Linked DNA regions of Stegostoma tigrinum. Each later gene encodes a partner of the first gene's protein in a complex. Links are inferred from orthologs where the notes say so. Each region holds a gene or a part of one and is shown on either strand. Other genes may lie near its edges.

Region 1 (7,966 bases):
ATCTCTTAATACTCCTGTTTAACAAAAACCTGATTAATCTCAGATTTTAAATGTGATAATTAACTGTCACTTACGAAACAGATTTCCGAACCTTCCAAACCACGATTCAACATGTTAAAGAAGGACATTATGTTTCGACTGATTGATATTGTCAGTAGTTTGGTGGGGGGGGGGGGGGGGGGGTGGGCACAATTTCAAGATTGCCAGCAACATAGCTAGCAGCGAGATGAGGAGAAACATCTTTACTCAGAGAGTTGTTAAGAGTTTGGAAAGCGTCACCATGGACTGTGGAAGAGGTGGATTCCATACAAAGTTTCAAAAAAAGAGCTGGATAAATATTTGAAAGTGATAGATTTAGAAGGTGATGGAGGTAAGACTGCAGACTGGGACTGGCTGGGTAGCTTTTTCGGGAGTTGGTATAGACACGACTGGTCAAATGGACTCTTTCCGTAAAATTCTCTTAAAATCTACCGCTCTTTCTGTGGGGAAGTTTTTCCCAGGCTGATTTCACTTACTTTTGCATTACCTGGGAAGGAAGCTGCCTTATAGAGAGCAGAATATTCCGCTTTTAAGAATGCTGTCAGATCAAACACCAATCACTCGCTAAAGTGTTGGCCATTGGGCTTCTTGACCCAGAGGGTGTTGTGGCCCTGCCTGAAGCTGCCAGCCAATCAAAGGTCAAGTTGTACAGAACTGTCAGAGGGTCTGTGCTGCTCAAACACGAGGGGTAGCACCCGCGAGCAGGTGAGTGACTTTTGGGTGGGGGTGGCAGGATTATGGGGGCATTGGGGAGATTGGGCTTGGGGATCAGAGGCAAAGCCGCTAGTGGTCCGGGGTGAGGCTATGGCTTGTGGTTTTTATAATTCGATGCTGCAAGTCCAGGTATCACTCGGGGAAAGCTATGCTGCACTCCTTCACAATTTCAAACCCAGACCCGGTACACTTTACCCAGAGCAGGTGAAAAACAGGTGGACACCTGAATCAGCCGATTGGTCAGTGGGAAAACGCCAAACATAATATTGATCAAAGTAGTGAGGACTTTGACAAAGTGAAGAGATTTTAGTCCATTCCAACAGTGAAATTTGATTTGTCTTTTTGAAAGCATTTCACAAAAGAAATAAAAGACTTGACTGGTTCTCTATTGAAGTATTTATTTTATAGGAGTATACATGCAATAGTTTCACAGGGGTCGATGGCTCATGTCTGTGTGCGGTAACTGACAGACCTAAGGAACGACAACAATTCTGCTAGGGCTTGAATTGAAGATAACAAAGTGTGAGGCTTCTTCCTGTCCCGCAGGTCCGACCAGTCCCCCTCCACCGACACCCACATTCGCCTAGCCGAACTTGTCCTCACCCTCAACAACTTCTCTTTCGATTCCTCCCACTTCCTACAGACTAAGGGGGTGGCCATGAGCACCCGCATGGGCCCCAGCTATGCCTGCCTCTTTGTAGGTTACGTGGAATAGTCCCTCTTCCGCACCTACACAGGCCCCAAACCCCACCTCTTCCTCCGTTACATTGATGACTGTATCGGCGCCGCCTCTTGCTCCCCAGAGGAGCTCGAACAGTTCATCCACTTCACCAACACCTTCCACCCCTACCTTCAGTTCACCTGGGCCATTTCCAGCACATCCGTCACCTTCCTGGACCTCTCAGTCTCCATCTCAGGCAACCAGCTTGTAAATGATGTCCATTTCAAGCCCACCGGCTCCCACAACTACCTAGAATACACCTCCTCCCACCCACCCTCCTGCAAAAATTCCATCTCCTATTCCCAATTCCTCCGCCGCATCTGCTCCCACGATGAGGCATTCCACTCCCGCACATCCCAGATGTCCAAGTTCTTCAAGGACCGCAACTTTTCCCCCACAGTGGTTGAGAATGCCCTTGACCGCGTCTCCTGCATTTCCCGCAACACATCCCTCACACCCCGCCCCTGCCACAACCGCCCAAAGAGGATCCCCCTCGTTCTCACACACCACCCCACCAACCTCCGGATACAACGCATCATCCTCCGACACTTTCGCCATCTACAATCCGACCCCACCACCCAAGACATTTTTCCGTCCCTACACTTGTCTGCCTTCTGGAGAGACCACTCTCTCCGTGACTCCCTTGTTCGCTCCACACTGCCCTCCAACCCCAGCACACCCGGCACCTTCCCCTGCAACCGCAGGAAATGCTACACTTGCCCCCACACCTCCTCCCTCACACCTATCCCAGGCCCCAAGATGACTTTCCATACTAAGCAGAGGTTCACCTGCACATCTGCCAATGTGGTATACTGCATCCATTGTACCCGGTGTGGCTACCTCTACATTGGGTAAACCAAGCGGAGGCTTGGGGACCGCTTTGCAGAACACCTCCGCTCGGTTCGCAATAAACAACTGCACCTCCCAGTCGCAAACCATTTCCACTCCCCCTCCCATTCTATAGATGACATGTCCATCATGGGCCTCCTGCAGTGCCACAATGATGCCACCCGAAGGTTGCAGGAACAGCAACTCATATTCCGCTTGGGAACCCTGCAGCCCAACGGTATCAATGTGGACTTCACCAGCTTCAAAATCTCCCCTTCCCCCACCGCATCCCAAAACCAGCCCAGTTCGTCCCCTCCCCCCACTGCACCACACAACCAACCCAGCTCTTCCCCTCCACCCACTGCATCCCAAAACCAGTCCAACCTGTCTCTGCCTCCCTAACATGTTCTTCCTCTCACCCATCCCTTCCTCCACCCCAAGCCGCACCTCCATCTCCTACCTACCAACCTCATCCCACCTCCTTGACCTGTCCGTCTTCCCTGGACTGACCTATCCCATCCCTACCTCCCCACCTATACTCTCCTCTCCACCTATCTTCTTTTCTCTCCATCTTCGGTCCGCCTCCCCGTCTCCCTATTTATTCCAGAACCCTCACCCCATCCCCCTCGCTGATGAAGGGTCCAGGCCCGAAACGTCAGCTTTTGTGCTCCTGAGATGCTGCTGGGCCTGCTGTGTTCATCCAGCCTCACATTTCATTATCTCAGATTCTCCAGCATCTGCAGTTCCCATTATCACTAGGACTTGAATTGAACCTGGGTACAGTATTTTCTGGGCTAACAAGGTGTGGAGCTGGATGAACACAGCAGTCCAAGCAGCATCAGAGGATCAGGAAAGCTGACATTTCAGGCCTATACCCTTCTTCAGAATTTTCTGGGCTGGTGTTGTAAATATTACCTGTAGGTGGATCATAAGGGCGCAGTGTTTGAACTAAGAGATAGCTTATGGATAAACTGTCCAATTTCACCATGTTAACATTTTCAAAAGAGGATTAAGCATCTCATACAGGCAATTCACTTAAATATGCATTCCCAAAAAATAGGCATTACTTAGGAAAACTGCAGGCAGTCATTGGATCAAAATATTCCAGCTGTTTAACGACTGTCCAGAGACTGAGCTCGGCAACCATATAAAGACTGGTACCAGTCTGTAAAATTGGGTCCTTTTAGGAAGGAGAGATCGGATATGTCAAGTTGCTGCTCAGGACCTTGGCCTCCATCAGAATATTCAGGTGTTTTTACAGTCTCCGGCTCAGCTTTGAATGCAACACTTTGAGATCAGAAAGATGTTTTCAGTCTCCAGCTGCTGGGAATGATTCTCTCTCTAAAGACATTGTGGGTCAAACCACATCAGGTGGATTGCAGCAGTTCAAGAAGGTAGCTCATCCACACCTTCTCAAGGAGTGCCTAGGGATGGGTAATAAATGCTGGTCCAGCCAACAACACCTACATCTGACAGTGAATAGAAAAGAAAGATTCAGCTTGTCTCATGTTCAACTCCCCCAGGGTCACTTTTTGTCACAGCAATGATGAGGGAACATTTCTGGGAATGGCCAGCAGCTCAGCGACACTGCGGGATGTCAGGGTTCAAACATGGACTTCTTGTTTATTCAGGATCTGGGGCAGGGAGAGGGGTGGGGGAGGGGAGGAGGTAAGGAAGGGGAGGGTTTAGGGGTGGGGAAAGGTGGGGAAGGAGGTTGGGAGGGGGTTAGGGATGGGGAGGAGGGGAGAGTGGAGGTGGAGGTTGGGAGGGGGGTAGGGGTTGGGAGGGGGGTAGGGATGGGGAGGAGGGGAGGGGTGGGGAAGGAGGTTGGGAGGGGTGTAGGGATGGGGGAGGGGGTGGAGGTTGGGAGGGGGGTAGGGGTGGAGGAGGGGGAGGAGGTTGGGAGGGGGGTAGGGGTGAGGGTGGAGGTTGAGAGGGGGGTAGGGGTGGGGGAGGGGGTGGAGGTTGGGAGGGGGTAGGGGTGGGGGTGGAGGTTGGGAGGGGGTAGGGGTGGGGGTGGACGTTGGGAGGGGGTGGAGGTTGGGAGGGGGTAGGGGTGGGGGTGGACGTTGGGAGGGGGTGGAGGTTGGGAGGGGGTAGGGGTGGACGTTGGGAGGGGGTGGAGGTTGGGAGGGGGTAGGGGTGGGGGTGGAGGTTGGGAGGGGGTAGGGGTGGGGGTGGAGGTTGGGAGGGGGGAGGGGGTAGGGGTGGGGGTGGAGGTTGGGAGGGAGGTGGGGTGGGAGGGGGTAGGGGTGGGGGTGGAGGTTGGGAGGGGGGTAGGGGTGGGTTGGGAGGGGGTAGGGGTGGGGTGGGTGGGGGTGGAGGTTGGGAGGGGGGTGGGGTGGGAGGGGGTAGGGGTGGAGGTTGGGAGGGGGGTAGGGGTGGGGTGGGAGGGGGTGGAGGTTGGGAGGGGGGTAGGGGTGGAGGAGGGTAGGGGTGGAGGTTGGGAGGGGAGGGGGGTAGGGGTGGGAAGTGAGAGGAGTGAGTGGAGGATGAGAGGGGAAGGAGGTAGGGGGAGGTGGGGGCTTGGTATTGGAGGGGTGGGGGAGGGGGGTGGAGGTAGGGAGCGGGGTAGGGACGGGGAGGAGGGGAGTGGGGAAGGAGGGAGGGGATGGGGGGGGTGGGGCCGCGGGGGAGGGCGAGGAAGCGATCTTGGGGAACACAAATGATGGGGCACCCTATACATTTCCGGTTCCGGTTTCCGCCCGGACGGTATTGGCGTCTGCACGCGGGTCACTTCCGGTGAGGTTCCTGGGACCGAGAGACAAATACCCCCCCCCCGCTCTCGGGGGGGGGGGGGGTAATGCCGGCACGATCCTGTCACACATTCCCCCCCACCCCCCCTCTCCAATGTTTCCTTCCTCCTCCAGCATCCCGGTCTCCCGTCTCTGGAACACTGCCCCCGATGTCCTGGGGAGATGTGACTGTGTTCAGGGGAGGGGGCTCTGTCACTCATATTAAATTGGGACAGTTTCCATGCTCCCGTGGGGCTGCGCTCTCATTCTGAGAAGTGACTGATGTTGGTTTAACCTGGGGGTTCCCCTGGGTGAGGGTTGAGGTCCCCCCTGGGTGAGGGTTGAGGCCCCCCCTTGGTGAGGGTTGAGGTCCCCCCCCCCAGTGAGGGTTGAGGTCCCCCGGGTGAGGGTTGAGGCCCCCCCGGTGAGGGTTGAGGCCCCCCCTTGGTGAGGGTTGAGGCCCCCCTGGTGAGGGTTGAGGCCCCCCCTTGGTGAGGGTTGAGGCCCCCCCTTGGTGAGGGTTGAGGTCCCCCGGGTGAGGGTTGAGGCCCCCCCGGTGAGGGTTGAGGCCCCCCCCGGTGAGGGTTGAAGTCCCCCTGGTGAGGGTTGAGGCCCCCCCTTGGTGAGGGTTGAGGTCCCCCCCCTCCCCCCCGGTGAAGGTTGAGGTCCCCCCGGTGAGGGTTGAGGCCCCCCCGGTGAGGGTTGAAGTCCCCCCGGTGAGGGTTGAAGTCCCCCCGGTGAGGGTTGACGTCCCCCCGGTGAGGGTTGACGTCCCCCTGGTGAGGGTTGAGGTTCAGATTCATGGTAACCTCAGCTGGTGTGGGAAGTGGACATGAGAGATGTTGGATCAGCCACAATCCTATTGAATGGCAGGGCAAGCTCAAGGGGCTGAATGGCCTCATCCTGCTTGTATTTCCTGTGGCATTATGTTGGCATAACGTTGTATATAAATCAGCTATCCAGAAAACCAGCCCCTATGTTACTGAAACCCTGGTTTTCAAGATGTCCACTTTTCAAACATTCCAGTCTCTTCACAGCATCTTTCCCCCTCCCCACAGGTAGGTTTCCTGGAGACTTGTCAAAATGGAGGCCCCTCCTGTTACGGTGTTACCTGTCATTGGTGGAACCATTAATATGATGGAATATATTCTTCAAGGTATGAAATGTGGCCCTGTTAATTTTACTGTAAAATGATTTCAGCAGATAAGTAACTGGGGTTTCAGAACTAAAACAGTTCTTCAGTGATTGGTACGTGAGTCAGAATGAGTAGACATTCTGCCAGGTTGCTCCTTGTGGGTAATATTCTATTATACCTTGTGTCCTTAACTGTAAAGTAAAGTCTCTATTCTGTGAGGACCATATGGCTGCCCTCATTAGAGAGAGAGAGAGAGACGACTGATCGTGGTTTAACCTGACATTGCTGGAGAACCACAGATTATTCTGACATAATGGGAACTGCAGATGCTGGAGAATCCAAGATAACAAAGTGTGGAGCTGGATGAACACAGCAGGCCAAGCAGCATCTCAGGAGCACAATATAAGATATTCACTTCTCTCAGCAGTATAATGGTTGCATTCTGCTCATTGTGAATAAATGTTAAACAGGTTAGACAGTTCCAATAAGTGTGCTCCATATTTGGTTATTATCCTGTCAATTTTATTCCCACCATTTAACTTGAAAGCTGTAGATGTGTTGGAGTCTTCCACCTAGCCACTGGCATTGAGGAAATTTGCACTTTTCCTCCTCTTGACCCAGGTTATTTGAGGCCATTTATAGTGCCCTGAATGCCAGCGAAGCTCCATACAAACCTGGGACCTTGCTGGGTAGAAATGTTGTTACTTGTCCTGCTGAATTATTACTCATGTTCTAATCTTTGATATTTGTAAAAATTATGACAAAGCCTTATTTTTCTCTAAAAAAACCCCCAGAATAACGGGATTCGAATGTTGTTGAAAAGAGAGATGTATTACTGAAGTTTTTGCATTGTGTTGATCAGGACAATTGCAAGAAATCCTAATTTTTAAAAAAATTCATTTGTGGGATGTGGGCCTTGTTGGTTGCCAGCATTTCTTACGCATCCCTAGTTGCCCTTGAGAAGGTGATGGTGAGCTGCCTTCTTGAACCGCTGCAGTCCGCCTGCTGTGGGTTGACCCACAATGCAATTAGGGAGGGAATTCCAGGATTTTGACCCAGTGACAGTGAAGGAACGTCAATATATTTCCAAATCAGGATGGTAGTGACTTGGAGGTGGTGGTGTTCCCATATATCTGCTGCCCTTGTCCTTCTAGATGGAAGAGGTCGTGGGTTTGGAAGGTGCTGTTTGAGGATCTTCGGTGAATTTCTGCAGTGCATCTTGTAGATAACACACACTGCTGTTACGGAGTGTCAGTGGTGGAGGGAGTGGAGTGGATGCGATGTGATGATCAAGCGGGCTGCTTTGTCCTGGATGGTGTCAAGCTTCTTGAGTGTTGTTGGGACTGTACTCATTCAGGAAAGTGGGGAGTATTCCATCACACTCCTGACTTATGCCTTGTAGATGGTAGACAGGCTTTGGGGATTCAGGAGGTGAGTTACTTGCTGCAGTATTCCCAGCTTCTGGCCTGCTCTTGTAGCCAGTCTGAGTCCAGTTGAGTGTCTGGTAAATGGTAACCCCCAGGATGTTGATAGTGGGGGATTCAGTGATGATAACACCATTGAATGCCAAGGGGCAGTGGTTAGATTGTGATCTTTTGAAATTAGGAATTTGAGAGAAAACAATTTATTTTCCTTTTATCCTGTAGTGTAAATTATTGTGACATTAAAAGGAAATGACGTTAAAGCTTTGGCAACATATAGTTGTACAGCGTAGAACCAGACCCTCTGGCCCAACTTGTCCATGCTGACCAGATTTCCAAAGCTAAACTAGTCTCATTTACCTGCTTTTAGCCC
Region 2 (7,502 bases), on another chromosome or scaffold:
ACGAATATTTTAAAGAAACCATATATTTTAGCTTTTTGCTTTCCACTTCACAATTACCCTTCCCAACTTCTATGCTGCAGGGAAGCATAAAAAATCGTGAGGCAAATAGGGAAAATGAAAAGATAGTACATTGATTGTGTGTCAGTGTAAAACATCTTCTCGGGAACAGTGACCATAACATGATGCAATTTAACATTCCATTTAACAGTGAGAAATCTGGGTCAGAACCAATTGTGATAAACATAAGTAAGCATAATTACTTAGGACAGAGGACAGAATTAGCTGGAGTGGATGAGTAAGGGAATTTAGCAGAAAAGATGGGAGAGAAACAATAGCAGGAATTTATGAAAATAATTCATGACTCATAAGAAAGATATATGCCAGTAAGGAAGAATGATTATGGGAAAGGGACAAGTTAGCCATGTTAAATAGATAAGTCAACAATAAAGTAAAATATGCAATGAGGCAAAGATTAGAGTTAAACCAGAGGTTTGAGAAGGTTTTAAACTAACAGAAAAAATTGAGTTAAAAGGGAGAAAATAATCTTGAAGGTAAACTCGCATTTACCATCAAAATGGACAGCAACAGCATCTTTAAATATACAAAATGGAAGAGAAACACCGAAGTGAAGATAGGCCCTTTAGAGAATGAGGCTGGGGAAATAATAATGGTAACTAGGACGTGGCAAAGGAGTTGATTAAATACTTTGCACAGTTTCATAGTAGAAGACATTAATACCATTACAAAATTACTAAATAATCACGGAGAAAAAGTGAGAGAGGAAATAAATACAATAACAATCACTGGAGAAAAAAGGGAAACTAATGAGGCTTAAAGCTAATACCTGTGGGTTGCATTCTAGGATATTATAAGAAGTGTCAACAGAGATGGTGGATGCACTGGTAATAATCTTTTGAGAATCTTTAGATTCTGCAAAAGTCCCAGACAATTGGATAACTACCAATGTAACACCTTTATTCAAAAAGGTTGGTGAGGGAGCCAAAAAAACAAGTAATTATAAGACCATAAACTAAAGGAGCAGAGTTAGGATACTCCGCCCATTGAGTCTGCTCCAAAGTTCAATCATAGCAGGTATGTTTCTCAACTCCATTCTCCTGCCTTCTCCCTGTAAGCCCCAAACCCCTGACTAATCAAGAACCCATCTCCATCTTAAAGACACTCAATGACTTGCCCCTCACAGTCCATTGCAGCATTCAGTTCCACAGATTACCAATCCTCTGAGAAATTTCTCATCATCTCAGTTCTAAAGTGTCATCTCTTCATTCTAAAGTTGTACCCTTGAGTCCTAGTCTCTCGTACTACTGGAAACATCTTCTCCATGTCCACTCTGTCCAGGCCTCTCAGTATTCTTTCAGCTCCCCCCTTCAACCTTGTCAACTCCATCGGCGACACACCCAAAATCCTCAAATGCTCATCATATGACAAGTCCTTCACCTCCAGGATCATTCTTGTAAACCTCGTTTGGAGCCCCTCCAAAGCCAGAACATCCAGTCTTAGATAAGGGGCCTAAACTGCTCACAATATTCCAAATGTTATCTGACTGGAGCCTAATATAGCTTCACCAGTACAGCTAGCCCTCTTGAAATGAACAACATTAAAGTTGCTGGAAAAGCCCAGCTGGTCTGGCAGCATCTGTGAAGGAAAAAAATAGAGTAAGCGTCTCAGGTCTGGTAACCCTTCCTCGGACCCTTCCTCTTGAAATGAATACTAACATGGTATTTGCCTTCCTAATGGCCAAATGAACCTGCATGTTAACTTTAAAAGAATCCTGATCTAGGACTCCCGAGTTCCTTTGTGCTTCAGATTACCGAAGCCCTTCTTTATTTATAAAATAGTTTATGCCTCTTTTCTTTTTACCAAAGTGCATGGTCTCACACTTTTCCACATTGTATTCCAGCTACCACTTCTTTGTGTACTCTTCTAGTCTGTCCTTCTCCCCACTTCCCCAACACTAACTGTTCCTCCATCTTTGTGTCATTTTCAAACAATAGCAGCAATGGTCGTAGATCATTCATTGAGATCACTCATGGATAACCTGAATTATTGTCCTCACACTGACCCCGAAGGAACTCTACTAGTTTCAGGCTGCCATCCTGAAAATGATACACTTATCCCCACTCTCTGCCTTCTGCCAGTCAGTTAATCCTCTGTCCATGCCAGTACCTTGCCCCTTATACCATGGGCACTTGTCTTATTTATCAGCCTACTGCATGGCACCTTGTCAAATGCTTTCTGGAAGTCCAGATAGATAATGTTCACTTTCCCTCCATTGTCTAACTTGTCTATTACCTCCTCAAAGAATTTTAAGAAACGTATCAGGCATGACCACCCCTTGATGAGGTTATGCAGACTCGGCAATATTATACCTTGCACTTCCAAGCACTCTGTAACCATATCCTTAATATAGGTCTCTAAAACCTTACCAATAACTGAGGTCAAGTGAACCAGCCGATAATTTCTTGTTTTCTACCTCTATCCCTTCTCTGTGACCGTCCCTGACTCCAGTGATTCCTAAAAGATCATCACCAATTCCATCACAATATTCTCAGCTATCTCCTTCAGAACTCTGGGGTGTAATCCATCTGGTCCAGGTGATTTATCAACCTTCAGATCTTTCAGCTTCCCCAGAACCTCTTTAGTAATGGCCGCTACACTCACTTCTGTCCTGTTTTGAAGTTCTGCTATGTTACTGGTTATCCCCACTGAAGACTGATGTGTAGTACCTGTTCAGTTTTTCTGCCATTTCATTGTTTCTCATTACTACTTCTCCAGCCTCGTCTTCCAGCAATCCAATGTCCACTCATCGTTCTCTCTGACATTTTATATAGCTAAAAGAACTATTTTAATCTTTTTTAAGTCACTAGCTAGCTTACCCTCACATTTCAAGTTCTCCATCCTTATTGCTCTTTTGGTTGTCATCTGTAGGATTTTTTTAAAGGCTTCCCAATTCTCTAGCCTGCCACTAGTCTTCACGACGTTGTCTTTTGCTTTTATGTTGTCCCTAACTTCCCTTGTCAACCATGGTTGTCTTGTCCTCCCTTTAGCATGTTTTTTCGTCCTTGGAGATGAATTTCTACTGTGCCTCATGAATTACCCCCAGAAGCTCATTGCTGTTCCACTGTCTTCCCTGTTATGCTCCCCTTCCATTCAACTCTGGCCAGATCCTCTCTCATGTCTTTGTAGTTACCTTTCTACAGTCATAATACCATTATATCTGATTCCAGCTTCTCCCTTTCAATCTGCATTGTATCGTACTATGGTCACTGCCCATTGGGGTTTCTTCATCTTAAGCTCTCTAATCAAGTCTCCTTATTACACATCATCAAATCCAGCCCTACCATAAGCAGTTTCAAAAAACGTCTTGTAGACATTCCACAAATTCCTTTCCTTGGGATCAGCAAACAAGCTGATTTTCCTAGTCCACATGCATATTGAAGTACTCATAGTTATTCTAACACTGCCTTTCTACATGCCTTTTCAATCTCCTGATTTATTTTCTGCCCATGTCCTGACTACTAATGGGAGAGCCAAGGATTGGGAGCATGAAATTGCTTTCCCAGTCTTTCCCCCTGCCCATAACACCCATGGTTTCTTTGCATCTGTTTTACATTTGTGTAGGGATAGTTTTATAATAGTAGAGTTATTTGTTGGCAATCTACACTACAATCTATTTTATGTGGAATAAGTAATGATTCTTGCTAAGTGTTTAACCTAGTCCATGCTTTCTGTCAACCTGGATCTAAGACAGGTAAATTTGAGAATTTTGCTGAGTTTAAATATAGACTTTAACTTTGTGATGATTCTGGGAATATCAGGACCTGATTTCAAGCACACTACCCCAGTGAGTTATGACAATGTAGCAGGAACATTTAAAATATTAAGATCACTCTACCGTCTGAAGGGAGTTCCAAGTATAATTGTGTCTACAGAGACTAGTGAGAGGCAGGAATAATTTCCACCTGTACTTCAAAAGGATCGCATACCACCTGAGATGTATACCTTCATGTTGTAGTAGGGGTCAGAGACTCATTCTTTTAACTATTTTGAAAACAAATTGGAAAATTCAAGAGGAAACACAGTACAGACATAACAAGGTGTAGCTGGATGAACACAGCGGGCCAAGCAGCAACAGAGGAGCAGGAAAGGTGACGTTTCAGGTCTAGACCCTTCTTCAGTTTCTACTATCTCTCACCACAGTACAGACATGTATGTTTATGTGTTTATTTTAAAAATCATAAAAATTCTTATTCTTCTTATCAAACCATTTAGTATTCTACAGTCTTTTTTAAAAAAAATGAAATCTTCTGTGTTTAATCATATAATAAAGCTGTTTTCTCGAGTGTTGAGGAACTGACAGCGAGTAGAGTTTTTGGACTCATCTGCAGCTGCTTTGACTCGCCCGGAAGACTTTTATTGGGAACTTGTAGCGTGAACTCGGATTCCTTGACGGAATGATTTAGGTGTTACATAAGGCCTAAAAGGCCGAAATGAAGATTTAGGATTTGCATTTTACATACACTCGGGGAGTGAAAAAACATTGGAAGAAGAAAGATTAGCGAAGCCCAGCGAGACGCGGCCGGGGTTTTGGTTGAGAGGAGATGGCGGGGAATTTCTGGCAGAGCTCGCACTAGTGAGTGTTTGATCTTTAGGCTGAGGCCTAAACACCAACAGAAAAAGTAGATTCTAGAGAATTATTTTCAAAGCCTCTTATTTCAGACGCGCACGTCTTGCTGTCTGCATTATTTCTGTAATTTATTTCGGTGAAGCTGCTGCATTACATTCCGGCCTGTTCTTCTTGTTCCAATCTCTTTTAAATGTGAAAACAGACTTTTTTTGGGCGGGGGGAGGAGAGGCGATGAAGTCATTCGTAGCAAAGAGATAATTAGATTCTTCATGTATCTGTTTCGGAGTGGGGGTGTTGGCTTTTGTTTTGCCTAGGGATAGCAAAGCCAACCTATAATTGCTGTATTTATAAACATCTTCAGAAAATCTAGTGTAAATGTAAGTGAAATATTACCATAACCATCTGATATAATGGGACCGTAGGGCTAAGTGGGAATTCTATAGTGAAAGTCTATAACGTCTTAATGCTGTAATTTTTTCTCAATGATATGATGAGGTTTTATATATTTCTTGCGTTTTTTGACTTCTAACATGTTATTGTCTTCGCGATTTCGTGGCCACGGAAGCTGCTTAAGTATTTGCTTACGTTTAGAGGTGATTCATTTTATGAATGAATGTTTTCAAGAGATGTGATGCATTTTGTGCGAACTGCATAACTGTCGTCAGTCGAGCTGTGTTTTGTATATTTCTACTGTTTCATTGTTTCAATGTGAAAGCTTTTTGCGGTGGCCAAACACGAGGTAGCCATCCACACAAACAACAATTTGCCTACAAAATAGTGTGTCAGCAGCTTTTCTTCCCGACAAGTCTAAAATCCGATGAATAGCTGCCGAACAAAATTTTCACAGCCCATGACTTGAAATCCTCGAGTCTTCATAATATTACCATTTTAAACGTTTCATTATCAGAACAAGTAATCTCTTTATTAGTGCTGCCTGCAAAAATAAACACATTCACACACTTTGGAATACAGATATTAATCTCTAACAATCCCTGACAGATCGTGGCTCTCCAAATGCAGATGTAGTCTGTCAGAATTCTGATTCTGCAGATGCAGGAATAGGCTTGAATTTTAACCTAAAAATTTGGTAAGCAAGTTTTTTGCCATTGGTTGGTTGGAGTCAGTTAGTTTGTTCAAGAGGCTTTTATAAAAGAAAACAAACTGTGAAAAGCTGATCTTTAAATAGTTATTTTCTGGGATGCAAGTGCTGTTGGCATTTATTAACCGTTATTTTTTCTAAAAAAAAATGTATTCATGAGCTCCTCATGAGAAAGTGGTAGTAATCTGTGTCCTAGAACTGCTGCAGGCAATAGAGTCGTCGAGCTGTCCAGCATGGAAACGGGCCCTTTGGTCCAACTTGTCCATGCTGACCAGATATCCTAAATTAATCTGGTTCCATTTGCTGGCATTTGGCCCATATTCCTCTGAACCTCTGTACCCATCCAAATGCCTTTTAAATGTTGTAACTGTACCCACCTCTACCACTTCCTCTGGCATCTCATTCCATGCATACACCACCCTTTGTGTGAAAAGGTTGCCCATTAGGTCCCTTTTAAATTTTTCCCCTCTCACCTTCAACTATGCCCTCCAGTTTTGGATTCCCCTATCCTGGAAAAAAGACCATGGCTATGCACCCTATCCATACCCCTCATGATTTTATAAATCTCTATCAGGTCACCCCTTAGCCTCCGATACTCCAGGAAAATAAGCCCCAGCCTGTTCAGCCTCTCCTTGTAGTTCAATCCTCCAATCCCAGCAACTTTGGAAATGGATCTGGCTTTTGCTCCGAACCCTGGGAAATAATCTCCCCCAATAGATTTTAAAAACAGTATATCTCTGATAGAGAGGGAGATGGTTCCCAGAGGACTCCGGAACTAACTGCCTTCCTCTTCTCTGCCTGATGATCACTTATCCAGTTTCTGCCTGATCCATCTTTAGCTGTGAAGCTGGATAAACACAGCACGTCGGACCACATCGGAGCAGGGAAGTCAACATTTCAGGCTGATGTGGCGTTGGTATACCTGTAGCGCTGTTAGTAAGGGACTGCAGGTTTTTGATCCAGTGACAGTGAAGGAAGATGAAATATTTCTAAGTCAGGATGGTGTGTAGTTGCTGTGGTACTTCCAGGAGTTTGGTTTTCCCTTGCATTTGCTGCCCTTGTTCTTCTTGGAGTAGGTGTGGAAGATGCCGGCAAGGGATATTTGGTGAAGTGCTTTATTTTATAGATCATACATGTGGCTGCCGTTTTGTGTTTAGTGGTGAAGGGAGTGAAAGTTAAGGTCAGGGACAAGGTAGTAACCTCGTGGGCTGCATTGTTTCAGATGGTGTTGAGGTTTAAAATGTTGTTGGGACTAAACTCCTTTGGGTAAGTCAACAGTATTCCATAATTGATAATGGGAACTGCAGATGCTGGAGAATCCAAGATAATAAAGTGTGGAGCTGGATGAACACAGCAGGCCAAGCAGCATCTCAGGAGCACAAAAGCTGACTTTTCGGGCCTCGACTTTATTCCATCATATCCTTGGCTTGTGCTTTGGGTAGTGAGAAGATAAGTTAGCGAGTTTTGAGAAGATTTTGTAGCTCAGGTTGAGGTTCTGGATGTGAGTTTGCTCGCTGAGCTGGAAGGTTCGTTTTCACTATCCACTATCACTAGTATCCTTACATACAGATGAGGAAGGGCACCACTTTGATTGGGACAACACATCCATCCTAGGACAAGCCAAACAGAGACACGCACGAAAATTCCTAGAAGGATGGCATTCCAACCGGAACTCCATCAACAAATACATTGATTTGGAGCCTATCTACCATCCTCTGAGAAAAAGAACAGGAAATGACATCACCAATGCAGGAAATG
Region 3 (8,020 bases), on another chromosome or scaffold:
GCCACAATGATGCCACCCGAAGGTTGCAGGAACAGCAACTCATATTCCGCCTGGGAACCCTGCAGCCGAATGGTATCAATGTGGACTTCACCAGTTTCAAAATCTCCCCTTCCCCCACTGCATCCCTAAACCAGCCCAGTTCATCCCCTCCCCCCACTGCACCACACAACCAGCCCAGCTCTTCCCCCCCACCCACTGCATCCCAAAACCAGTCCAACCTGTCTCTGCCTCCCTAACCGGTTCTTCCTCTCACCCATCCCTTCCTCCCACCCCAACCCGCACCCCCAGCTACCTACTAACCTCATCCCACCTCCTTGACCTGTCCGTCTTCCCTGGACTGACCTATCCCCTCCCTACCTCCCCACCTACACTCTCTCCACCTATCTTCTTTACTCTCCATCTTCGGTCCGCCTCCCCCTCTCTCCCTATTTATTCCAGTTCCCTACCCCCATCCCCCTCTCTGATGAAGGGTCTAGGCCCGAAACGTCAGCTTTTGTGCTCCTGAGATGCTGCTTGGCCTGCTGTGTTCATCCAGCCTCACATTTTATTATCAATGATATTGCAGATGCTGGGATTTGGAATTAAAAGGGAAGGTCCCAGAGAAACTCAACATGTCTGGAAGTGTCTGTGAAGAGAGAAACATAGTTTACATATCAAGTCCGATCTGATTCTACCCTGGGCCTCACGTTGGTCACGCTGTGGTCTCATTTCCCATCTGCGTTTTGAAATTCCTCATGTTTCCCCGTGGTCATTTTGAATCTATAAATAACATATAATCCCAAGCAATCCATAGCCTTCAGTTACTTTATCTTCGCAGCTTAGCATGTACAATGTAACCTTGCGATCACAGGAAATTACTGCACAGAAAGAGGCCATTTAGCCTCTTATGATGATGTGAGTTTCAGCACCCTAACTGCAGCTGGTTATTCTGAACCTATTTGCCTGTCGATTGTGACTCAGCGTGCAGTGGCCTGGCTTCAGATGTTCAGCTCAAGTCTGTCTCTAGAGGCTTGAGTTTGTAAGTCAGGCCAACAATCCCAGAGTGGGGCAGTAGAACGTCAAGAGGTTCTTTATCCTCAACGGTGTTCATGAGGTGTGTGTAAGGGGGAGGGAAAGAGAGAGCGAGAGACAAACAGGTAAGCTTGACAAACTCCAGAAACGCAAGCAGAACCCAGTCCTGGTGCAGGTGATAGGGATCAGTGTCACAGAGGATCTCTAAGAGTCTTGCTGCTTTCCTCAGAGGCCTGCAAGGTAATCTTCCAGTCCAGGGTCTGCACATGGAGCAGGATGAACGTTTGATTTGATTTATTGTTGTCACACACACCGAAGTACACTAAAATGTTTTGTTTTGCATAGAGTGCAGGCAGATCATACATGGACATACAGATTGTAGGGCGTTTAGACAGAGTGAGGCATACAAGGTCAGGTTGCACAGGAGGTGCGCAAAGCAAGATCAACATTAGATTCGAAATTAGAGAGGTCCATTTAGCAATCTAATAACATCAGGGGAAGAAGCTGTTCTTAGAGTGATAAGGGTCATAGAGATGTCCAGCATAGAAGCAGACCCTTCCATTCAACTTGTCCATTCTGACCGCATATTGAAAATAAATCTAGTCCCATTTGCCAGCATTTGGCTCATATCCCTCTAAACTCTTCCTATTCATGTACTCATCCAGGTGCCTTTTTAAGTGTAAATGTACCGGCCTCGATCACTTCCTCTGGCAGCTCATTCCATATACACATCATCCTCTGCATGAAAATGTTGTTCCTTAGGTCCCTTTTAAATCTTTCCCCTCTCACCTTAAACCAATGCCCCTCTAGTTTTACACTCCCCAACCCTAGGGAAAAGCCTTGTCTATTCACTCTATCCATGCCCCCATGATTTTATAAACGTCGAAAAGGTCACTCCTCAGCCTCCAACACTCCAGGGAAAATAGCCCCAGTCTATTCAGTCTCTCCCTGAAGCTCAAACTCTCCAACCCTGGCAACATCTTTGTAAATCTTTTCTGAACCCTTTTAAGGTTCGCAACATTCTTCCTATTGCAGGGAGTTCTTGTATGTTTCTTTAGGCCTCTGTATTTTCTGCCTGACGGGGGTTTGGAAGAGATTGTTATTGGGGTGCGAGGGGTCTTTGATGATGTTGGTTTGCTTTCGACGACATTGAGAAGTGTAGATGGAGTCCATGAATGGGAGGTTAGCCTGTATGATAGTCTGGGCTGTGTTCACAACTTTCTGTAGTTTCTTACAGTCCTGGGAACAACAATTGCCGTACCAGGCCGTTAAGCACCCACACAGAATGATTTCTGTGGTCGATCGGTAAAAGTTGGCGAGGGTCCTTATGGGCATGCCGAACCTCCTCAGCTGCCTGAGGAAAAACAGGCATTGTTGTGCCTTCTTGATGGTCTTACCTATGTAGGATGATCAGGACGGATTGTTGGTTATCGTCACTCCTAGGAACTTAATACTCTCGACCCTCCCCACCTCAGCTCCATTGAAGTGCACGTGGCTTTTCTTCCAGTAGGTGCAGAGGGAGATCTCTGTGCCCAGCGGCCTGAAGAAAGAAGATGGCTCAGTAACGGCATCTCAGTCCGACATCCTGAGGATCAGCAAATCCTGTTGTGCCAGACTGTATGGAACTGTTTTACCATCTTTTGCACGTACACAATTCTTATGAATAAAGTATATTTTCTCCAGTACGGAAAAAGCCAAGTATCCCATATGTCTTCTGAACTACCCTATTGACCTGTCTTGCTACATTTAGGGATCTATGGGTAAGCACCCCAAGATCCTTCTTTTGTGTGTGGCTTCCTGGTGTCTGGGGAAACGCCTGTGGTCTTAAGGTCAGTCTGGATGGGCTGAATAACCTACTTTGGCACCTATGCCTTATGTAAGGCACAACAATAACACTTGGAAAGATTTACTGCCAGCTTTTTTCACAATTTCTAGTTTGTCTGCTCACGGCCCACATCGACTCTAGTCTCCTAGCCCATCTCAATCCCCTACAATTTGCTTAGCGACGTAACAGGTCCACAGCGTATGCTGTATCCCCAGCCCTGCACTCATCCCTGGAACATCTGGACAACAAGGGTACCAACATCAGACTCCAGCTCATTGACTACAGCTCCTCCTCCAACACCATTATCCCCGGCAGACTGATCTCGAAACTGCATAACCTTGGTCTCAGCTCCGCCCTCTGCAACTGGATCCTCAGCTTTCTGACCCACAGACCGCAATCAGTGAGGATAGGTAACTGTACCCCCTTCATAATAACATTCAGCACTGGAGCCTTCCAGGGATCTGTTCTCAGCCCCCTGCTGTACTCCATGCACACCTACGACTGTGTTGCCAAATTCTGAACAAACACCATCTACAAGTTTGCTGACAACACCACTGTAGTGGAACAGATATCTAACAGCGATGAGTCAGAATACAGAAAGGAGATGGAGGGCTTGGTGATGTGGTGCAATGAGAACAAACTCTCTCTCAATGCTGGCAAAACTGATGATTTATTTCAGAAAGGAGAAGACACACCCCCATCTACATCAACAGACCTGATGTTGACATGGTGACGATAACTGATAACATGTCCTGGCCTTCCCACGTAGAGACGATGATCAAGGCGGCACAACAGTGCTCTTCCTCCTCAGGCAGATCAGGAAATTTGGCATGTCCATAAGGTCCCTCACCACCTTCTACAGATGCACCCCATTGAAAGCACACTATCCGGATGCATAATGGCCTGGTACTGTAACTGCTCTGCCCAGGACTGTAAGAAACTACAGAAGGTGGTGTGTACAGCCCAGACCATCACAGAAGCCAACCTTCCATCCATGGACACCATTAATACATGGTTTGCTGCCACGAAAAGGGAGCCAACATCATCAAAGAGCCATCCCACCCTGGTAATGTTCTCTTACAGCCTCCACCATCAGGCAGCAGATATTACTTTCTGAAGAAGGGTCTAGGCCCAAAACGTCAGCCTCTCTGCTCCTCTGATGCTGCTTGGTCTACGGTGTTCATCCAGATCCACACCTTGTTATTCGCAGATTCTCCGGCATCAGCAGTTCCCACTATCTCAGGCAGAAGGTACAGAAGCCTTGAACACACCAATGGGCAGGTTCAGGAACAGCTCCTTCCCTGCCATTATCAGCCTGATGAGCGGACTCTCTAACCCGAAGTAACGCTGATCTCGCTCAGCGCACATTCCTGTGCAATGTAACAAAGTGTGAAGCTGGATGAACACAGCAGGTCAAGCAGCTTTTGTGCTCCTGAGACGCTGCTGGGCCTGCTGTGTTCATCCAGCATCTGCAGTTCCCATTATCTCTGCGCAATGTACCCTGTAGACCCCTATCTGAGCCTTTAGGATATGTACATCCCTTGCTTGCTATGATCGGCATGTACTCATAAACAAAGCTTTTCACTGTATCTCGGTGCATGTGACAATCGATCAATCAACAACTCAATCATCAATCATTCAATCTTCAGGGATAGTCTCTCAATCCTTTCAGTGATTCATTTGTGGCTAATAAGACCTGACCAAGCTGATTGCTGATTGGGGGAATGCGAACACCATCCTGTGGCTGCCCGTGGTTCTGATTGGGTAGACTGTGAATATAGCCCTTGTGATTGGTTTAATGTCCCCGTCTCTTATTGGAGAATCGAAGTCTAGCTACTGATTGGTCGTCTTACCCGCAATGTTCCCCAGATGATTGGCTACGTTATCCGGTCGCCCGCTCTGACTGGGTAGCTCCGCGCCGCTCGTCGTGGTGGCCTGACACTTGATTGGTCAGTTCTACCACCTAGCAGTAAAGCGGAGAACGATTGGTTGGGAGTAGACCCGAGCTTCCTCCAATGCCAGGGCGGTTTGTTGGCTTTTTGCTGGACGATGGCGGACCGCCTCACGCAGTTGCAGGACGCCGTGAACTCGGTGAGGGCGAGCGGCCAGAGTCCCGACTTGAGGCCGGGGTTAGCAGTGGGCCCGATGTGATAGCGCCGCTCCCGCCCAGCGGGTTATGGGGACGGGGGAGCGCCCTTCTGCGGGGCGGTCAGTCTTCGTGCCCACCAAGATGCCGACCAGGGCCAAAACACCCGCAACGGCTGAAGGCCGCTCCCCTCCTGTAGCCTGGGGTTCGTTTAATACAGCATCAAATACGCAGAAATTGCTGGAAAAAGCTGAGTAGGTCTGTGCAGGGTAACGTTTCGGGTCCAGTTCTGAGGAAGGGCCCCCTGCCCCTAAGCGTTAACTCTTGCCTTTTCCTTCACAGAGCTGCTGAGCTTTTCCAGCAATTTCTGTCTTTGTTCCTGATTCGCAGCGTCTGCGTTTAGAATCATAGATTCCCTCCAGTGTGGGAGCCGGCTCTTCGGCCCAACAAGTCCACACTGACCCTCAGACCGTCTTCGCACCCCCACGACAACCCATCTATTCCACCCTTCCCTGGACACTACGTGCAATTTCCCATGGCCAGTCCAGCTAACCTGCACATCTTTGGACTGCTGGAGGACGACCCCACTCTCACTCTCACTGTCTGTCTCTCTCGACACTCACACAATGTGCAAGCACTGAGCCACTGTGCCGCCCTGATCAGTCTTTATAAAATACACAGCAGCGGTCCCTTGACGGTGTGGTGCTCCCCTTCCTTCAATTGGACAGGCTATTTGAGGCACGCTGTCAAGCTATTTTCAACGCAGCGAGATATTGTGTGTTTGAGATCTTGCTGAATGTGATGGGTTCTAATCAGATTCTGAAATATGGTGAGAATTTTCAGATGTGAGTATCAAGGTAAAGACCTTGGAATGAAAATTGTCCCTTTTAAGGAATATTTAGAAATAGATGTATCTCAGTGGCATGAGGTTGCAGAAGACTTAAGTGTCCTTGTGTATGCATCACAAAAGGCTGTAATGTCAATTACTGAAGCATGCTTCAGCATTTAACGATGGCTAATTTAGTAATTAAATCTAATAGAATTTTCTTTTTGTTGCAAGGGATACTGAACATAACAAATGTAGAGCGATTATGCTTATTATTCAGGGCACTAGCTAGACTGCATCTGAAGTACTGTGCTCATCACTAGCCACCTTACTTCTGGTAGGGTGCAAATGCATTGGAAGCATTTTATAGATGGTTCACAAGACCGATACCTGGGATGGCAGGTTGTTTTGCAGAATGGTTGGAAACAGTAGGCTCGTACCAGCTGGAGGTTTGAAGAATATGTGACTTGATCAAATATTTAATCTTAATAGGGTAGATGTGAAGATGATGTTTTTTCTTGTGGGAGTATCTAGACTAGGGGTTACGGTTTAAAAATAAGGGGTGTCCCATTCAACAAAAGATGAGAATTATTTTTCCCTGAGGTGGAGTGTCTCTGAGCATCGCTTCCTGAAAAAGAAGTGGAAGCAGAGTCTTTGAATAGTTTATAAGGCAGAAGACATTAAATTCTTCATAAGCAAGGGGGTGAAAGGTTGGTGGCTTGAGGTAGGAGTTGGGTTTGAGGTTGCAATCACATTAGCCATCATGTTAAATGGTGGAGCGTGTTTGAGGGGCTGAATGGTCTGCTCCTTGTCTGTAAGTAAGTGTAATTTAGTCTGTTTCCACTCAGCTCTGATGTGTTTTCAGGTGAGCTACAAAACTGAATCAGAGTAAACACTGTTTACTGAACAGTTTGCTGTTTAGAATCTTTGCACGCCCACATGTTCTGTTTCATTTTTAAATTTGTCTTCCATCTTTCACACATCAGTGTGCTGTCAACAAATAACCTATGTAATTTGTATGAAGGGTAGGAGCCAACCTTGTGATTAGACTGTCAAACTTGTTCATAATTTGCACTGCTTGCCTTGATCTATGCTTTATAATTTGCTAGGGATAGAAAAATCCATTTGAGAATATTCCACCATTGAATTAGGTCATCACTGTACATAAACAAAACCCTCTCTTATACTGGAGATTGTCAATGCCCAGCATCATTACTAAAAAGAAAAACTAAGTCAGTGTTTCAGGTTGATGACATTTCACCAGAGCTGTCAAAAGTTGAGAGATGTAAACGATTTCAGGCAACTTCAGAGGCATGGTAAAAGAGAAGGGAACAAAGGAAGAAATGCTTGTGATAGTCTGAAAGGCAGGTCTAATTAAATGATAGAAGAGATGCTTATGCATGAGTTTCAATGAAATAACCAAAGAGGATGATTGGTTGAGTGGATGTCGTGCCAATCAGGCCGGCTGTTTTGTACTGATGGTGTCCAGCATCTTGAATGTTGTTAGGGCTGCACTCATTCTGGCAAGTGGGGAATATTCCATCACACTCCTGACTTGTGCCTTGTAGATGGTTGACAGCCTTTTCGGAGTCGGGAGTGAGTTACTCTTTGCAGTATTCCTAGCCTCCGACCTGCAAGTGTGTTATGTGACCAGTCCAGTTCAGTTTCTGATCAATGATAATGTCGAGGATGTTGATGGTGGGATATTCAGTGACTACAGCACTATTGAATGTCAAAGGGTGGTGGTTATTGCATGGCATTTCGATGACACTAATGTTATTTGCCACTTGTCAGACCAAGCTGGATATTGTCTAGATCTTGATGTATTTGGATATGGACTGCTTTGCAGTATATACTGTCTACAAGATACATTACAGAAATTCACCAAAGATCCTTAACATCATCCAAACCCACAACCACTTCCACCTAGAAGGACAAGGACAATAAATGCACGGGAGCACCAGCACCTGTAAGTTCCCCTCAATGCTGCGCACCTACTGATTTGGAAATACCTTGTCGTTTGTTTGAAATTGGAGAACTCCCTCCTGAACAGCATTGTGGGTCTACCTCCAGCACGTGCCGTTCAAGAAGACAGCTCACCACCACCTTCTCAAGGAGCAGGCAATAAATGTGACTAGCCAGCGATGTCCAAATCCCATGAGTGAATTAAAGAAAAGCCCCATTCTTGCATCTTTTTCCTTGACGAGAAATACCGTTGCCCAACAAAAATAGTTGTGTTGTTTTAAATCAGCCTTCTTTTCTTCTCTCTAGT
Region 4 (8,060 bases), on another chromosome or scaffold:
CAGGCAATTTAGCATGGCCGATCCACCTAGCCTGCACATCTTTGGACTGTGGGAGGAAACCGGAGCACCCGGAAGAAACCCACGCAGACACGGGGAGAATGTGCAAACTCCACACAGACAGTCGCCCGAGGGTGGAATTGAACCCTTGTCCCTGGTGCTGTGAGGCTGCAGTGCTAACCACTGAGTGGATATTGATCCCACGACAAAGATTACTGTGAAAAGCTGTCCAGTGGGGTGGATACTTACTTCAGGTACTTGGCATATTCTGGCTCCTTCCAGTACAGGAGATACTTGAAGTAATTGACAAACGTTCGGTCTCTGAAGTACCCTCGTTGTGCCAGAACTACCACATTGAAACAAAAAGAAAATTACGGTATTGTCACCAGCACTAAGGTAATGTTGAAGAGAGAATGATACTGTTAACTGGCGAGTACCATCCCCAGGGCATGGGGAGGTAGCTCCTTGTCATTACAGACATTACTGCATCAAAGTGAGTGGGTCTATTACGCTCTTCAGGTGCATGGCATCTACGCTTCACTGGAGCAGACACTTTGGTGCTCAGTGCCTCCTGCACTTCCCCTTCCCCACCCAGGGCTTCGTTTCAAAGTTACATCAGAAGAGACTCACTTCCCTCTCTATCTATGGGTCCAAGTCTGGTTCAATCACAGACATGCTTCAAGAGGCTGGCGATAACACTGATGTGCTGCCTCATGCAGAAGGGAGAAAGCGTCCTGTCGGTAGCTGTGATGAAGCTCAGTGGTTTCTTACTTTACCATGTCACTGCTGGAAACAGCAACTGGCCAATGGTCCAGGGGAATCCCACTGGCACTTACAGTTCAGATAGTTCGGGTTCGCCAGACACTGCACAAACTCCAGCTCCATCTCAAATCGTAGCTTTGCCTGTTCCTCTGGGGGTAGAGAGAGTGAGAGAGAGAGAGCAGAGGGGGGAAAGGACAAGTTACTCATTACCTTAAGGCATAAATTCAACCAAAGTCATCACAAATAAGATAAAATATAAAGTAAAATGATTTTTGTTTGAGAAGGGGGTTTACGGGTTAAGGTCAGACAGGCAAGTCAAGTTGAAGCCTTAGTCAGATCAGCCAGGGTCTTACTGACAGGCAGAGTAAGCTCGACGGTTCAAGTGACCTCTTCCTGCTGCTACTATCTTTTTTAATTTTGCAATCAAGGAAGTGGCAGCCAATGTACACACGGCACGCTTCGCAGGACAACGTACTATCATTGCAGCATGACTTCAAATCCAAACAATAAACGTAGATCATATCTTCTCCAGGAATTCTTATCTTATTTACCTTCGGATAAAACAAAAAAAAACTCTGTGAATGCTGGAAATCTGAAACAAAAAAAAACTGCTGGGGAACTCAACACTTCAGAACTTCTGAAGAAGGGTGACTATACTGGAAATGTTAACTCTGTTTTCTCTCCACAGATGCTGCCAAGCCTGCTGAGATTCTCCAGCTATATGCTGTAGTTTTTTTTAATTTTGTTTTACGATAGTTTGAATCCATTGTATGACTTAATCACATGGAGATTGATGACCTTGAATATGCAAGGCCCAGTTCAATGCTTGGTGCAATGTTAAAATATACCACCAGACCAGGAAGCTCAGCCTCGGTATGAGCTCAGGGAGGGACCTCAAGTGAATCACAAAGGCCCCAGCTAGAGTCAAGGATACATATTAAGCTGCAGTCATACTCTTGCAATTCCTAGTGGTGTGAGAGGGCACATGCACGTGGGAAGGAACAAATGTATCAGATAAACACTAGGTCAAACTCAGGTGTGATGCGAGTGTCCATACATTGATGCCTAAACTCCTACATAAAAGCCCCTCTATTTTACAGTACTTTGGATGTACCTACCCCAAAGGAACTGGAGTGGCCCAAGAAGGCAGCTCACCATAAGCTTCACCACAGCATCTAGGAGGCAGGCATTAAATGCTCACCAACCAGCAAGGTCCACATCCCATGAATAAATTTTTTTTAGGAGCTTAGCTGGAGGAACAAAGGTATTGTTTAATCAGTAGGGGCCAATGACCAAGTTTGGTGAAATAAACAAAGCCTGTATTCTGTGGAATGCAGCATGTTAAAGATGTGATTTTGATGGAGTATTTTGAAACAAGTTGATAAGGAAAAACATCTGGATGTGAGTTTGCTCGCTGAGCTGGAAGGTTAGTTTGGTGACGAGACGTCTGAAAACTAGGTAACATCGTCAATGAGCCCCCGGTGAAGATCCAGAAACTCAACCTGAGTTACAAATCTTCTCAAAACTCGCTAGGAAAAACATTTCAATGTTTGGAGTTGAGTTCAGGTTTACTGGGCATTATCTTAAATTCAGAACCAGGTTAGTCAGCAGAGGAGGCATGTGTGGATCTCTACCCTACAAAAAAGGGAGTTGATTCGAGGGCCCAATCAACCGTTTTGTATCTGAGATCACTAGAGTGCTACAACAGAGGAGCACTACGTGTAATGGAGATAGAGTACAGAACAGCCACTGTCTCAGTTAGTGCCAAAACAGGCTCTTAGCATCGTAGTAAAGGCCATTCGGCCCATAGAAACTGTACTACCAACCACTCAAGGGGCTGATTTGCCTCTTTCCGTTACTGTTATCTTTACCCAGAGTCAGCAGCAAACGTCCCTCTCTCCCAGTTTCAAGAGTGAACGAGAAGGCCCTTACTTCCGCCCCGCCCAATCATGGAGCCAGATATTTCCGCCCCGCTCGCTATCACGTGGCCGCTAACTTCCGCTCCTTACCTGTCTCCATGGTGGCTGGTGCAGCCGCCATTGTTTGTTTCTTCTCTCCGCCTCCCGCTCGAAGAGATTCGGTGTAAACAGCAGCCTCCATTAAGCAGGTCTGACCCTTCTCTTAATCGGTACTAGTCACAGCACCTACCTTCTCGTCAGTTCAAACTACCAGAATGAATAGAACTAACGAGCTGCTCGCAAGCGGGTCACTTCTCCCGATAGCAGCTGCCAACTGAAGTAATTCCACTCCGACTTACAGTGGGAGTCAGTGCTGCCCCCTGGGCTGGAGGATAATCAGGAGGAGGTGGTGCTGCCCTCTTGGCTGGAGGACCATCAGGAGGAGGTGGTGCTGCCCCCTAGGCTGGAGGATAATCAGGAGGAGATGGTGCTGCCCTCTGGGCTGGAGGACCATCAGGAGGAGGTGGTGCTGCCCCCTAGGCTGGAGGATAATCAGGAGGAGGTGGTGCTGCCCTCTGGGCTGGAGGATAATCAGGAGGATATGATGCTGCCCCCTGGGCTGGAGGATAATTAGGAGGAGGTGGTGCTGCCCCCTAGGCTGGAGGACCCTCAGGAGGAGGTGGTGCTGCCCCCTAGGCTGGAGGATAATTAGGAGGAGGTGGTGCTGCCCCCTGGGCTGGAGGATCATCAGGAGGAGGTGGCGCTGCCCCCTGGGCTGGAGGATCATCAGGAGGAGGTGGTGCTGCCCCCTAGGCTGGAGGATAATTAGGAGGAGGTGGTGCTGCCCCCTAGGCTGGAGGATAATTAGGAGGAGGTGGTGCTGCCCCCTGGGCTGGAGGATCATCAGGAGGAGGTGGTGCTGTCCCCTGGGCTGGAGGACCCTCAGGAGGAGGTGGTGCTGCCCCCTGGGCTGAAGCATTGCCCCTGGGAAAGAGGGGAAGGTGGGGCAGTTATGTCTATCAGAGGGACCCTGATGCAGAAGGAGTCTGGGCTTGGGATGACTGTGTTACTGCGCTGAACATGTTGAGAGAATGTGGTGAATGCAGGCTCAGGGTTTCCTGTACAGGATGCATGTTTCTGGGAAGGGTTAGAGAACAGAGGGATCTGGGGAAATGACAGGGAAGTGGAGTTAAGGATAGGCCATCATCACATTGACTAGCTGAGCTGACAGGGGCAGTGTGGTAGTTCAGTGATTAGCGCTGCTGCCTCGTGGCGCCTGTGACCTGGGTTCGATTCCAGCCTTGGGTGACTGCCTGTGTGGAGTTTTCACATTCTCCCCATGTCTGAATGGGTTTCCTCTTTCCATATCTTAGGTGGATTGTCCATGCTAAGTTGCCCCTTGTGCCCAGGGATGTGTAGGTTAGATGGGTTAGCCGTGGGAAATGCAGGGTTACACGGATAGGGTAGGGGTTTGGGTATGAGTGGGATACTATTTAGATGGTCATTGTAGGTTTGTTAGGCCAAATGGCCTGTTTCCACACTCTAGGGATTCTATAACAGACTTGATGGGTCAAATGGCCTCTTTCTGCTCCTACACCCTTATGGTCAGAGATAGGATGGGGGTAATTCCAAATACTGTTGTGTTTGTGGTATTCTAAAGCAGAGTCTGGGTGTCAAACATTTACCTCCTATAGTGACTGGAACCAGGTGGATCTCATTGACTATGAGGTCCTTGGTTGGGGTTGTTAACCTGGGCCAATTAGGAAGCCCTGGCTCAACAACATAAACAGGGGATTTAGAGGAGCTGGCTGACCACAGCCTGTGCACAGTGCACATGTAAATAAATGTGATGGGATACCAGCTTCCGTGCAGTTTGTTCACCACCGTCCCCCCCCACCCCCAACCTCTCCCTCTCCCTCTCCCTCTCCCTCTCCCTCTCCCTCTCCCTCTGTGGATGTTGTCAGGCATGTTGAATGTTTCCTGCATTTTTTCACCTTCCACCTCTGGAATCTCCGGCCTTCCCATATCTTAAATGCCAATCCTTTGGACTACATTAAGGTTTTGTCATCATCTCTCGCTCCACCTTTGTGTTTTCAATTAGGCCCTGGGACATTTTCTAGCATTGAAGGTGATTCTTTCGGTACAATTTGTGGGAAATGTTTTGTGGCCTGTCTAGTTTTGAGGTGTTAATATTTTTGTTGTGACTCAAGACAACATTCTCATGTCAAGGGAGCTGATCACTGACATTCACCACGCAATGACCCAGTTGGCTGGTTTAAAAGCCCAGGACACACTGGGTTCAGCTTGGAATGAATCTGCTGAGACACACCTACCGAGTGTGAGCAGCACAGCGGAGTTTATTTGGATCATACCTGATGCTTGAACAAATAAGATTAAGGCTCAGTGTTTCTGAGGGGGTGCCAGACTAATATAGGGACAGGCTGGTTGAGAAGGCATTTAGCACGCTTGCCTTTTTTTTCTCAGACCTTTGAGTATCGGAGTTGGGACGTCATGTTAAGCTTGTACAGGGTGTTGGTGAGGCCACTTCTGGAGTACTGTGGTCGCCCTGCTTTAGAAAGGATATTATCAAACTGGAGAGGGTTCAGAAAAGATTTGCCAGGATGTTACTGGGAATGAAGGATTTGAGTTATAAGGTGAGGCTGGATAGGATGGGGCTTTTTTCCCTGGAGTGTAGGAGGTTGAGGGGGTGACCTTGTAGAAGTTTGTAAAATCATGAGGCATGGATTGGTTGAGTAGCCGAGATCTTTTCCCCGGCGTTGGGAGTTCAAAACGAGAGGGAATATTTTTAAGGTGAGAGGAGAAGGATTTAAAACAGACCTGAGGCACAGATGTTTCACACAGAGGGTGGTGCATGTGTGGGATGAACAGCCTGAGGAAGTTGTTGATGTGGATGTAGCTACAACATTTGGACAGGTACATCAATAGGAAAGGTTTCGAGGGATATGGGCCAAACCGAGGCAAGTGGGACTGGTTTAGTTTAGGAAAGCTGGTTCAAAGGGGCCATTTCTGTGCTGCACAACTCTGTGACTAGTGTCCTCACAATGGGCTGAAGGGCCTTTCTCGGGACTGTTGTGTACAAATGAGGCCATTCGATCCCTCATATCTGCTCTGCTAGGCAATAAGGTTGTGTCCTCTGCATTTTCCTGTCTGCCCCCAGTGATGGCTACACTCGCCAACAATCTATCTACCTGTCCACCTGGCCTAGAGGGAATGTCACTCCAGCAGGAGGCCCCCTACTTTCTGACTCTTTCTCTGTCGTCTAAATGTAGTGTTTGCCATCTCCTTCAGCCCAGTGTTTCAATTTCCCGGTCGTTGCTGAACTCAGCCTGCCCCATGCTCAGGTGGAGGCCATTGAGCCTGGCCTGTGTATACTAGCTACCCAAATGATCACCTGGTACCACTCTCATGCACCTCACATGTGCAGAAGTATTAAGCTTCAAGAGGAAGCCATTTGGCCCATCATGTCTGCTCTGCCTCTTCAAAGGAACAATCATCATCTGCCTTGATTGAACCTGCCTACTCCACTCACTGAGGCGATGCATTTGTAGAATTCCCCGATGGTATGGGAGCAGGCCCTTCACCCAGCAAGTCCACAGTAACCCTCTGAAGAACCAGGCCCATCCTCTATTCTGTCCCTGCATTTAGCATGGCCAATCCACCCTAGCCTGCACACCTTCGGACTGTGGGAGGAAACCGGAGCACCCGGGGGAACCCCACGCAGACACAGGGAGAATGTGCAAACTCCGTACAATCGCCCGAGGCCGGAATCAAAACCGGGTCCCTGGTGCTGTTTGGCTGCAGTGCTAACCACTGAGCCACCGTGCCGTGCCATTCACTGTATGAAAACATTTCTTCTTGCGTTACTCCTGTTCTTTTACTGATTACTTTGAGCATTGTCCCCTGCGATTAAATATGATTCAGAGTCTTGTCATGCAGTTAGCTGTAACTGCTTGCAGTGTGCTGTTTAATGTGTATTTATGTTTTGAGCCTGCAATTTGGAGAGAAATTACCCTGTGTTTTAACTTAATGTGCTTTGTGAGCGTGTACCTCACTGTCCTATTTGACCCTGAGCTGAACCTCTGACTCCATGCCTGTCTGCGTTGCTGACTTTTTCTGCTGTAAACATGCCCCTTGAGTTTGCCCCATCTGCTGCTGATCCCCTCACTCCTGTCTTTCTCATCCGTAACCTTCCCTGTTCTATGAACTCTCCTCACTTCATCTGATACTTAGCTGCCAACACCTAACTCTTACTGAGTCCCATACTTCCTGTACTCGCTGTCCTACATTCACTCCCAGTTAAATAAATTCTAAAAATTCTCGTCCTTGTTTTCAAATCTTTCAGGTGAGTGAGTCCCTGTCTTTCTGCACACCCTTGGAGTGCTGTTCTTGTACAGATTTTATTCGTCCCAGCACTAGTGGCTTTCAGCAGCAGAGAGGGTCCCAAGCTCCATATCACCCCTGCCCAAACCATTTCAGCCTTCGATCCTCTAAGATTTGGGGCGGTACGGTGGCTCAGTGGTTAGCACTGCTGCCTCACAGGGCCAGGGACCCGTTTTCAAATCCACCCTCGGGCGACTGTCTGTGTGGAGTTTGCACATTCTCCCCATGTGTGTGTGCGGGTTTCCTCCCACAATCCAAAGATGTGCAGGCTAGGTGGATCGGCCATGCTAAATTGCCTGTAGTGTTCAGGGGTGTGTGGGTTATAGGGGGATAGGTCTGGGTGGGATGCTTCAAGGGGCGGCGTGGGCTTGTTGGGCCGAAGGGCCTGTTTCCACCCTGTAGGGATTCTATGAAATATCATGTTCAAAGATGCTCAGAGACAGCAAGATGCTGGGGTCTGAGATAACAAGGTGTAGAGCTGGATGAACACAGCAGGCTGAGCAGCATCAGAGGAGCAGGAAGGCTGACGTTTCAGGCCTAGACTCTTCATCAGAAATGGGCTTTCCTCTTCCTCTGATGTTCCCTGGCCTGCTGCGTTCCTCCGGCTCTGTTCAAAGATACAGCTCGGTTTGTCAGGCCTCAGTGTCATGCTCTGTTTGCTGAATCATTCCTGTGAACACCCCCCGCCCCACCCCGGGGATGTGTATCTCTGATGGGGACCCACAGGACCACAAAAAACTATTGTTTGGCCCAGTGTGTGCTTCACTTTGTGTCTGGATGTTTCTCCCTCTCCCTCTCTTCCCATCTCTCTCTCTCTCTCTCTCTGTCTCTTCAGATCACCAACATTCCTCATCCTTTTCCCTATCCTGGACTTTCCCTGTAGATACCCGCAGTGTTTCTCTTCACCAGTCCCTTCCAACACAGCTTTAAGATCCTGTCCTCCTCACTTCCAGGTGGAAGTCCTTGCCGCTGGGAGAATGGACCTTGTGATCATGTGGATTC

What was found.
Region 2: med18 (region 1) and ccnc share a complex: the UniProt entries of both Homo sapiens proteins name them as parts of the mediator complex. The link is inferred for Stegostoma tigrinum from reciprocal best matches to the Homo sapiens genes MED18 and CCNC.
Region 3: med18 (region 1) and med21 share a complex: the UniProt entries of both Homo sapiens proteins name them as parts of the mediator complex. The link is inferred for Stegostoma tigrinum from reciprocal best matches to the Homo sapiens genes MED18 and MED21.
Region 4: med18 (region 1) and med31 share a complex: the UniProt entries of both Homo sapiens proteins name them as parts of the mediator complex. The link is inferred for Stegostoma tigrinum from reciprocal best matches to the Homo sapiens genes MED18 and MED31.

Annotation. Positions count from the first base shown.
Region 1 is NC_081377.1:42,903,662-42,911,627, reverse strand, and holds the start of med18 (mediator of RNA polymerase II transcription subunit 18), read left to right. Parts: upstream 1-4,953; 5' UTR 4,954-5,044; intron 5,045-5,083; exon of another isoform or gene 5,084-5,563; intron 5,564-5,605; exon of another isoform or gene 5,606-6,095; 5' UTR 6,096-6,120; coding exon 6,121-6,193; intron 6,194-7,966. UniProt on the Homo sapiens protein: Component of the Mediator complex, a coactivator involved in the regulated transcription of nearly all RNA polymerase II-dependent genes.
Region 2 is NC_081357.1:49,313,538-49,321,039, forward strand, and holds the start of ccnc (cyclin-C), read left to right. Parts: upstream 1-4,423; 5' UTR 4,424-4,619; coding exon 4,620-4,651; intron 4,652-4,893; exon of another isoform or gene 4,894-5,022; intron 5,023-7,502. UniProt on the Homo sapiens protein: Component of the Mediator complex, a coactivator involved in regulated gene transcription of nearly all RNA polymerase II-dependent genes.
Region 3 is NC_081371.1:59,248,412-59,256,431, forward strand, and holds the start of med21 (mediator of RNA polymerase II transcription subunit 21), read left to right. Parts: upstream 1-4,825; 5' UTR 4,826-4,885; coding exon 4,886-4,927; intron 4,928-8,019; coding exon 8,020-8,020. UniProt on the Homo sapiens protein: Component of the Mediator complex, a coactivator involved in the regulated transcription of nearly all RNA polymerase II-dependent genes.
Region 4 is NC_081380.1:46,202,797-46,210,856, reverse strand, and holds the start of med31 (mediator of RNA polymerase II transcription subunit 31), read right to left. Parts: upstream 3,017-8,060; 5' UTR 2,860-3,016; coding exon 2,769-2,859; exon of another isoform or gene 2,631-2,768; intron 2,010-2,630; exon of another isoform or gene 1,918-2,009; coding exon of another isoform or gene 1,878-1,917; intron 1,311-1,877; exon of another isoform or gene 1,281-1,310; coding exon of another isoform or gene 1,235-1,280; intron 909-1,234; coding exon 834-908; intron 344-833; coding exon 247-343; intron 1-246. Other genes in the region: tRNA uridine(34) hydroxylase-like, read left to right, coding at 8,036-8,060. UniProt on the Homo sapiens protein: Component of the Mediator complex, a coactivator involved in the regulated transcription of nearly all RNA polymerase II-dependent genes.